2 linked regions of the Macaca fascicularis genome follow. The protein of the gene in region 1 interacts with the protein of each later gene in a biochemical or structural test. Links are inferred from orthologs where the notes say so. Each region holds a gene or a part of one and is shown on either strand. Other genes may lie near its edges.

The links. The genes of interacting proteins can lie anywhere in the genome.
Region 2: the proteins of SNTB1 (region 1) and SLC16A7 interact in a test that uses a peptide from one of them, tested with the Homo sapiens proteins (2 studies listed by IntAct, with this or other methods). The link is inferred for Macaca fascicularis from reciprocal best matches to the Homo sapiens genes SNTB1 and SLC16A7.

Annotation. Positions count from the first base shown.
Region 1 is NC_088382.1:130,428,332-130,433,170, reverse strand, and holds the start of SNTB1 (beta-1-syntrophin), read left to right. Parts: upstream 1-1,481; 5' UTR 1,482-1,684; coding exon 1,685-2,264; intron 2,265-4,839. UniProt on the Homo sapiens protein: Adapter protein that binds to and probably organizes the subcellular localization of a variety of membrane proteins. May link various receptors to the actin cytoskeleton and the dystrophin glycoprotein complex.
Region 2 is NC_088385.1:66,480,091-66,485,014, reverse strand, and holds the start of SLC16A7 (monocarboxylate transporter 2), read right to left. Parts: upstream 3,113-4,924; 5' UTR 2,874-3,112; exon of another isoform or gene 2,563-2,873; intron 1,679-2,562; exon of another isoform or gene 1,519-1,678; intron 1-1,518. UniProt on the Homo sapiens protein: Proton-coupled monocarboxylate symporter. Catalyzes the rapid transport across the plasma membrane of monocarboxylates such as L-lactate, pyruvate and ketone bodies, acetoacetate, beta-hydroxybutyrate and acetate.

The sequences.
Region 1 (4,839 bases):
CCTGCAATGACTCCACCTTCTCAAGAAAACGTCCAAATGTTTTCATTTCATTCTTTGACCTGGTTGGGACTCCACTCTTTAGGGAGTCATCTGAGCTTTTAAGCCTCCTTGATTAAGTGTGAGTTATTCTAAAAGACTTAGAGAACTTTCAACGATGATACACATCAATGGGAATGTGTTCAATAAGATTTATTTCAACACCTTGCTGGGTTGGGGTTACTTCAGGAATTAACAGAACTGTGTGTTTTGTTTTGTCTTGTGTTTGGAGACAGGGTAGACCGCAGTGGGAAGGGTACATAATGGAGAATCACGAAATACCTTGAGCGGACCCTGAGACCTGCTTAGAGTTAGGGGAAAACTGGAGAGGTTCAAGGATAGAAGAACTCAGGGTTGTTCAGGTGTGACATGGGTTACGTGGGCATTTCTGGATTGCTCTGGGAAGGTAAACAACCATTATAATATTGTTACCCTGGAAAAATGCAACTTGAAATCCAAATAACTAACTTGCAAAGTAACTTTTGAAATATCACCCATTCCAACTGAATTCTTAAATGGGAGGCTTCTTATATGGGAACTCAGGAAGAAAGAGAGATCCCCAGGCAGCATTTGGTGTGGCACTGGGAAAACAAAGATAGGTCAAAAGCTTAAAGCATAGAATGAGTTACAGCTGGAAGAACATTTGTCCCTGGGGTCCGAGGCAGGCATGACCTGTTGAAAACCCCAGGCCAGCAAAGACACCTGTCCAGGGCTCCATAAAAAATATTTCCTGCATTTAAGGAGAGGAGGTTTAAGGCACTCGGGCTATGTTGAGTCTTCATTCTAGAATCTTGGGACAGCGTATTCCCTTTTAACTCCTGGGGAGTCCAGGGCCTTGGTCTGAGTTTAGCTTCCTCCTAGGAACCCGGGTGGAAAGGAGAGACAGGTAAGAACTCCGCAGAGTCAGGGAAGCCTGGGTTTGAGGAAGCAGAGGGAGGAGACCTGGATCTAGTTACAAAGGAGTTGTAAGACCCAGGGACAATTCTACGTGCTGGGTGTGAAAGGGGAGGGGGCTCAGGAGGACCGAGTGAGGGCACTGAGGCAGGACGCACGCACCCGGCGAAGGTGCGGTGTGGGCGCCCACGGAGTGGGGGAGCTGGGACGAAAGGGGGACTGCGGTGGGCTGGAGAGAAGCGGGACGGGGAAGGCGCTCGGGAAGCTGTCCCCTCGGCGTCGTGCGCTCCGGGGACGGAGGCGGGGAGGTCTGGGCGGGCGAGCGGCGTGTGACCGCCAAGGCTGGGGCGGCTGGAACAGGTGAGCGGCCGCTGGGTTGTGGGTCCCCGCCCTTCACCGCCAGCGTGCCTCCTCCCACGGACTCTCCCCAGCGCTGAGCTGCTCCGCGGCTCCCCTTGGTTTGGGGTTTTGCAACTGGCTGCTGGCTTTTTTCCCCTCCCCTGTCTCGGTCTCTCCTTCTTCTTTTAGGTTGCTCCACCCCGCCCAGGATCAGGAGAGGGGGAACCAGCCTGACTGCGGCTGCCAACTCCCGCCGAGTGCGTCTGCGAACTCCCGGAGCGGAGTCCCGCGTGCCGCCACCTCCTCACGGGGCGCACTCTCCTCGCTCCCCCGGGCCCCGCGTCCTCCCCCCGGCCACCCTTCCCCACTTTTCCCCCCTTTTCCAATCACATGGCATTTTAAGAATGCCGGAAAGATGGCGGTAGCGGCGGCGGCGGCGGCGGCGGCGGCGGCTGGGCCGGCAGGCGGGGGAGGCGGCCGGGCGCAGCGGAGCGGGCTGCTGGAAGTTTTGGTGCGGGATCGCTGGCACAAAGTTCTGGTGAACTTGAGCGAGGACGCCCTGGTTCTGAGCAGCGAGGAGGGCGCTGCGGCGTACAACGGCATTGGGACCGCCACCAATGGCTCGTTCTGCAGGGGCGCCGGGGCTGGGCACACGGGCGCGGGCGGCGCGCAGCCCCCGGACTCGCCCGCCGGGGTCCGCACCGCCTTCACCGACCTGCCGGAGCAGGTGCCCGAGTCCATCTCGAACCAAAAGCGCGGCGTGAAGGTGCTGAAGCAGGAGCTAGGCGGGTTGGGGATCAGCATCAAGGGGGGCAAGGAGAACAAGATGCCCATCCTCATCAGCAAGATCTTCAAGGGGCTGGCGGCGGACCAGACCCAAGCCCTGTACGTGGGCGACGCCATCCTGTCCGTGAACGGAGCCGACCTGCGGGACGCCACCCACGACGAGGCGGTGCAGGCGCTAAAGCGCGCGGGCAAGGAAGTGCTGCTGGAAGGTAAGGGGTTAACCGCGCGCGGGCAGCGCCGGGCGCGCACACACCTGCTCGGCTTCCCACCCGCACGCTCACACTCACACCACACTCGACCACGTGCCGACACACCCCAGGGGGCCGAATGTGTGTGTGTGGGTGGGGGAGAGGGCGGAGGAATTGGCAGCATAGAGTTTTGTCAACTTTTACCCACCCTGGGGGCAATTAGTCTCCAGTCCGCAGGGTTGGCTTTAACCCAGGAGGGGTGTATGGAAAAGCGAGGCTAGCAGGGTTTCCCAGCCGGATTGCTGCTTAGTATACGTTGTTTCATTTTTGTCTGCGAGTAATCCTAGTAGAGTGTAGGGATTGGGATATGGAATCGAGAATGAAGGGTGAACTTAGAATATTCCTACATCCAACGTTGCCAAGCAGGGCTACTGCGTAATTGCAACTCATAGTTTTCCGCTTTGGCAAAATTTCCCACTCTAAAGCCTGGGCAACCCAGCAGAAGAGGATTGACTCATAAAGGGGTGAGAGAGAGGTGGCAATATTGTGAATGCTAAAACTCCGACTATCCTTCTGGACGTTCCCCCTGCAAATGGGGGACTAGGGTTATGCCTGGAGAGTTGTGTCAGGGGCCGGGAAATTCGTTGCAGTTTTGGGGAAAATTCACTTTCCCTGCCGGGCATCTGGCCGGTCAGTCTGGATTCCAGGTTCCTCTGGGTGGAGAGCTGGTGAAGTGGTTTTTCTGGCTGCGTTTTCTGGAGCCCTTTCTGAGTGGTGTGGAAACAACTTTGCATTTGTAAACAGTTCCCCCTGCGTGTGAGGAGCCTAGAAACTACTCTCTGTCTCTCGAGATCTGATGTCCCCAGTCCCCTCATTATTGAATGTGAATAGAATAGGAACCACCTATTTACAGTTTTGCACTGTTCATGGCTATGTTGAGTTATGTCGGGGAGAAGGGCATATTGGTAGTAAACTGAATTCTCCTGTTTGGCTACAGCTGCATTTCTCACTTGTTTCTCTTCTCTTTAGTGCTGTGTACATACCTCTGTCAGCACTAATAACGTGTAATTATTTTATCTATTTACTCAGCCTAGCCTACCTATAGATTGCGGTATCTGGAGTCTTTTATTTAGCGGTGGATCTCTCTTGGAGCTTAGTTGCTCCATGTCATACATACTGAGTAAATGAATAAATGAACCTATAGCTATTGAAATAGACTATTTCATCTGAGACCATGTAATATGGTGATTGATTTAAGCCCTAAAGACGTAAGTCAATTTCCTGCTTACTTAGTCGTGGCACTGGTGTGTGAAACTGAGAAAGTTTAAAGCAAGGGTGCCAGCATCACTAGTGTGTGACAGCTGATGCAACTCCCTGGTATGTCATGGCCCACCTCCTGGCCCACAATACAGAGAAGTTCTCCCCCACCAACCTTGTTTGTCTAGAGGATTTGCGATGTCTTCATAGTCAATTACCACCCTGGACCCAGACAGTGGAAAGCTATTTGCTTTGGCTTGATGATTAACATAACAGGAAAAAAAAGTTTTCTTGACTCCAGTGTGTGTTGGTTTGTGTGACAAGGGTCAGGTGGGATCTGGGGCAAGTGTTATTTGGAATATAAACTGTTGGGCACCTGCTCAGTTTGCAATACTTACTGTAAATACCGGGGTAGGGGTTGGGGGTGGGGCGGAAGGCGGGTCATTTTATTTTAGGTACTATCCTTTATTATGTCCCTACTTTTCTTCCTCTGCTTGCTTTCAATTTAACGAATAATTACTTGGCAAAGAGGTAAAAAATATCTCTCACCCAAAAAGAGGAAGAAATTTCTCTGCAATTGAAAATAAACTTAGAGAAAGAAAAAAAATCAAGCAATTATGTGACTTTCAGTTTCTTGAAACAGAAACTGAAAAGTGAGTTTGGTAAAAACCTCTAACATGACATTCTTAGAACACTTTGTCATTTGTCATAGGCAGGACCTCTGGAGAAACACTGTGGGTCTCCTAGATATGAACATTTTTGGCTCAGTGTAGCAGCCTTATCCTCAGCCCAAGTTTTTCAAAATCAGCTGCTGTTAAGGGAAGCGGAGGCCCTCCTCAGAACAGTGTCTCTTATTCTGAGCCAAAGTGTTCGTTCTCAATGCAATGGTAGTCATCAAATACCATCAAGTCAAATATCACAATCCTCTCTTTTGTAGCTTAGCCTAATACTGGGATTCCCAGTTGAAGGGGCTTATTAGGACCACTTCAAGGGCTTTTTAAAAAGACATACCTACTTCTTCATATTCTAACATGCAGTGTGGATTCCAGAGTTTCTACATAGGAGAGGTTTTGAAGATGTAATCTGGTTACATGACAGGGCAAAGGGAAATGTTTTGAAGGTACATTTGTATAGCAAGTACACCCTTTTTTCCGGCTAGATTCCTTTTTGTTTGTTTATTGGGGGAGTAAATGGAGATTAGTTTAGTACTCCAACCACCGCCCACACGCACCCCACTGCATGACATGCGCCCCCTGGTGGAGAGCTACTACCTCTACGAGTGGAACACCCTGTAAAGTGAAACCCTGGAAAAGTTTCAATGCCTGCATTCTAGGCATAG
Region 2 (4,924 bases), on another chromosome or scaffold:
TGGATTGCTTGTCTCAGCCCAGCCACTTACTAGGTGTACCAGCTGAATAAGCTATGAAACTTTCTGGGCCTAAATTATTTGTTCTGTAAATATGGATATGGACAGATCTACCTCACAGGGTTGTTACGTGCTATCAGACAGTAGTAGCACAGTGCCTGGAATATGGTGAGCATTACAGAGTTGTCATTATAGTCGTTATGTACTACAGTTACTTTATACTCTTAGGAGTGAGTGGATTGGTTTGTCCAAGGTGTAGTAGAAACTGCAGCTCAAACTCTTCTCTCAAATGATGGAAACCAATTCATTGACAAAGATAGTCTTCAGAGAAGGATCATCCTCCCCTCCTAACATGAAGAAAAATCCTTCATTACCTGTTTTTATTCATTAAGGATCACTATTAATGAACAAAAAACGGGCTGAATACAGGTTCCTGAGAAAAGACACTCTTCTCAAATTTGCCTTTTAGCAGATCTTACCAACATCTCTTACAACTGCGGAGTTCCTTTCAAGTTATTTGGGATATATGTTTCTTCCATCAAGAGGAGAAAAAAAAAGGGGGGCACTAAAAGGCAAATGGGATACAAGAAAAGATTAACCTGGATGACTGCCTATATGAGAACTTCTTGAGAACAGAATTCCAGCCTCATTCATCTTGGTAACCCTGGTAGGGTGTCTAGACTGATTATAGGAGCTCAAATATAGCCTGTCTAAATTCTAGGTGTTTACCACACACTTTATTCTTCCCAATAGCATTTCAAAGTGGGTACCACCAATCTCATTTTATAGATAAGAAAAAGGTAAAGCCCTGATTGTTAAACAACTACTCAACCTTACAAAAGTGCAGAACCAATCTGTTCTAAAGTTAATTCCCTTTTTCCATGTGAATGTCTCAAAAATGTTTGGTGAATGAATACAGAATTAAAATCAAATTCTGGAGATGCCTTTTATTTCAGATCCATGATCCAGGAATATGACTCTAGACAAGGGAGGTTTCTTTAGGTAATGTTTCTCTCCTTCCCTTTAAAAGAGCTCAAAGCCAAAAATATAAGCCAGACATTATCAAAGAGCAAATGAATGTCTAGAAATAAACTGAGCATTTATAGAAGGATACACTAATTTGAACTTTGGGAAACAGGTGTTAAAATTTCAGATCACTTAATATTAAAACATGCCTTGGGGGAAAAAATGTAATATGTAACTGCAAACTGTTGATGTATTTACAAAAAATAGTTTCTGACTTTGTAAGTTGTTACACAATACACTGAGTTTCTTATGGTTATAATCTTTCCTTTCCACTGAGATCATTCAGTCCCTCACTTGGATTGCTTTAAATGTAATGTGCTCAGTTAGAAGTAGAAGCTGGAGTTAGGATTGCTTCACCGGGGCTAAATATTAGTCACTTTGCTCAACCCTCATTTGCCCTCTCCAGTCCCCACCCAACTCTCATTTTTCAGCCACACTCCACCAAATGCATACTTAGTGCTTGTGGTTCCAGTGACACAACACATTCAAGCTAACCTGTCTGTGGAAAGTTGGCAACCCTCTGAGTTCAGACTGGGGTTAGCCATGAAGCATGGGGTGACAGGAAATGGCATCCAGTAGTCACTCCTTCCTCTGGTCCAGTCTTTTTCACATCACCTTCATCACTGCCCGCTATTTTATTCTTCTGCTGTGTCTCCTTTGGGACCCAAGAGGGAAGAAGGACATGAAATAACAGCTGTCCTAATGCCACTAACCAGCCCTAACGCAACGCAGCCTAGTCCTACTTATTTCTCCGGGAAAGGCAATCAAAAAACAATTATAGAGAAACCACTCCTCATTTCCTCTTCTATGTCTCTCGTGTGTGTGAGTGTGAGTGTGTGTAAAATTTTAATTTCCCTGGAATTGGAACTACAAAAGTCCCTCCTCAGCCCTACCGGGAAAGTGGTATTGGGCACGACCGCCCTTTCCAAGGCAGTCTGCAATCGTTTTCGCGGAAGTAGAGGAGAAAAGCGGGTAGAGAAGGGAGCTGCCATGCAGCATCCGTTGGGAAAACAGTTCGCACGTGAGCGGGCTCGCACGTGAGCGGGCTCGCAGCCTGTGGCGCCACCTGACCGGGCCTAGTGCCCCCAGTGTGGTGCAGTAGCTCAGGAAGCCCAGCAGGCACAGGCCCTCCTGAACCCTTGCCAAGTCAGCGCTCCCTTTCTGCCTGGGCTCAGGCCTCGCCCGCATACACTTTTCCATCTGCTTCCACCCCTGCCATCCTTCCTGGGGACCAAAAATGAAGAAAGACAACCCCCACGCCCCAATCCCCCGGTATTTCGTCTTCCCCTCGCAGCCTCTTCCTGTCCTGATCATCTGCTCAAAGAGAAGACGTTCCCTACACACACCCTCACCACCCCCACCTCCACCTTGTGCAGCAATGAAGCCACGCTACCCTAGGGGGTTCGGGGGCCGGATGCTGGCAGGGCGCGCACTAGAGACACGCCGCACGCAAGCAGCCCTCCGAGTCTCGTGAGCCAGGGAGACTGGGGTGCACCGCGCCACGCTGAGTCTAGGTGTAAAAGCCTAGAGCGTGGGTACCTCCTGGCCGAAAGCACGCGGGGCGTTCCTTGCCCGGGACCCCGCACACCCCCAGCAGCTCCCGGGCCGCTGTCGGCGCTCACTGGCTGACGCGAGCTCTCCTCCCGCGGCCGCTTCGGGGTTTTTTGTCTATATAAGGGCTCGCTGGCCAACTCTGCGTTGGCACGTTTGTCACAGGCTGGCCATTATTTGCACACACGCGTGCGGCTCCGCGGGCAGCTCGGGTCGCAGACGCGGGCTTTCGCTCCTCTTCGCCTGCGCCGCCTCCTCGTCCTCCTCCTCCGCCCCCCTCCCTCCCCAGCTGTACTTACTTTATCTGGTCTCTGGCGCAGGGTGGGCGCTGCAGCTCTCTGTTCCCCGCAAGCCGCAGCCGGTTCGCCTTGCTGTCAACGGGTGAATGGAATTATTTATTTATTTATGGCCCCTGACGTGTCCTCGCCCGCCACAGCCAGCGGAAAAGGAGGCGGCGGCGGGAAGGGGAGGCGCGGCTGCTGAACGCCCGTGTGGGTGCGGAGGAGCGCGCGCCGGGGGTGGGGGCCGGACAGACTGCGGTGGAGGCCGGCCCGGGGGGTGGTGGGGGGGAGCCGCCTCCCGGTGCCTGGAGACCGACTGAGCATGCTCCAAGCGGCTGTCAAAGCTATAGGCAATTTCTCTATCGCTCGGGGCACTCCACTTCGGATTTTAGTTTTGACCAAGGAAGAAAGCCAAAAGGCAGGTAGATCTGTCGTTTCAGATGGGTCGTGACTTGCTGTATCCGAAGTACTCTGTAGCCTGACCTAGGAGTCAGGTGTGGGGTAGCTCTGTCTAGATATTCCAGAGAGTTGTGTAACCCATGCATGGGAGAGGAAAGCATGCAAAAAGAGAAGAGTCTGGCCGAATGCAGGGAGAATAGGAGATCCTCACTGTGAACTTGCAGTGAAAGTGTTGAGCCATTTTTCAACTGAGGCCTTTTTGGGAGAAGGAGGTAGTGCACTGTTGGAGATTAGACTCACTAACCAAATCACTTTACAGAAAAAAATAAAATTGACACCATAGGAGGAAGGGTATGGAAAACAGCACCAAAAGACATTAAAAATAAGGATTTTTTTTTTTTTTTCAAATCATTTATAAGTAATTCCTTTCATTTTTGGTTTCTCCAATTATTTAGTTCTTCAAACCAGCATTTAGTTATTTGACAACGAATAGTGCTAGAGATAATGGTAATTGTGCAGTCATTGGTTTGGTCTCTTCCTCTGTCTAAAATATGCTTCTTGGGAAAGTTGGAAAGAGGAAGGGCTGGAAGAGAACGTTTAACCTACCCCAAAGATTGAGTTTCTTTAATAACTTTAAGTTAAATTGCCACTTTAGAGAAAAAGAAACTATCCAAAAGAATAATTGTAGGTTTTGACTTGACAAGTCCTATTGCAGTTTGTCTACCAGTTTAACTAGCTTTCTCCTCCTTGATTTCACAATAATCCTTTTAAGATGTGTTCTATGATTCTTCACATTTTACAAATTTATAAAAAGATAGTTAAGTCATTTGGGTAAATTCACACTGTCTTTTGCCGCAGCTAGTCTGTTGTAATGGACAAAATTTGAATTTCAATTTCTGTAGCTATGAAATAAAAGTAATATCAATCTTGGGTTGATTTCATAAGATTTAAGTGAAATAATATACATGAAGTGGCTGGTAGGCATAATATAAGGTGAATAAATAATGGTGATTAATAACTTCAAAATTATTGGAAGATAATTTTATTGAAAGAATGATATTTGAAACTGAAAAAAAAGGCAGAAAATTACAGAAAGGATTTTATATTTTTAAGCTAAAAATGCTTAAATAGACGTTTGTGTAAGACATAATAGGCATTTTGATAATGATGGAATGTCTAGCAGTGACTCTAAATACTTCATTTAATTACAAAAAAGTTAAACATTTCAAAGAAACAACATGAAGGCACATTTCAAGGTCATATTCTTGAGTGTTTGCTATTGACATTTTTCCTGCTCATTCATCACTTTTATTTCCTGTCAAAGAAGAGGAAGAAGACCATATGCTTTCTGAATTTCGATCCTATTCTCCCTTTTCCTTCTCTTTGATTTTTCTTTTTTGTTGTTTTTTTTCTTATAGTCCCATGTTCTTGGCTTGTTTAACCTATTGCTGAATGCCAAACATCACTACTTATAGCATGATATCATAACCTTCTTTTTAAGTCTTGTTTTTTCAACAATTAAAATTCTGGATCTAATTTACCTACTGTCACAGAGTTAGTATTTGGGAACTCATTTCTAAATTGCTTTGTTGTGGTAACTAGGTATGTTACGTAAAATTTGATTTGACTAGAAAGGAATCTGAAAGGAGGGAGAATCAGCTAAGAATAAA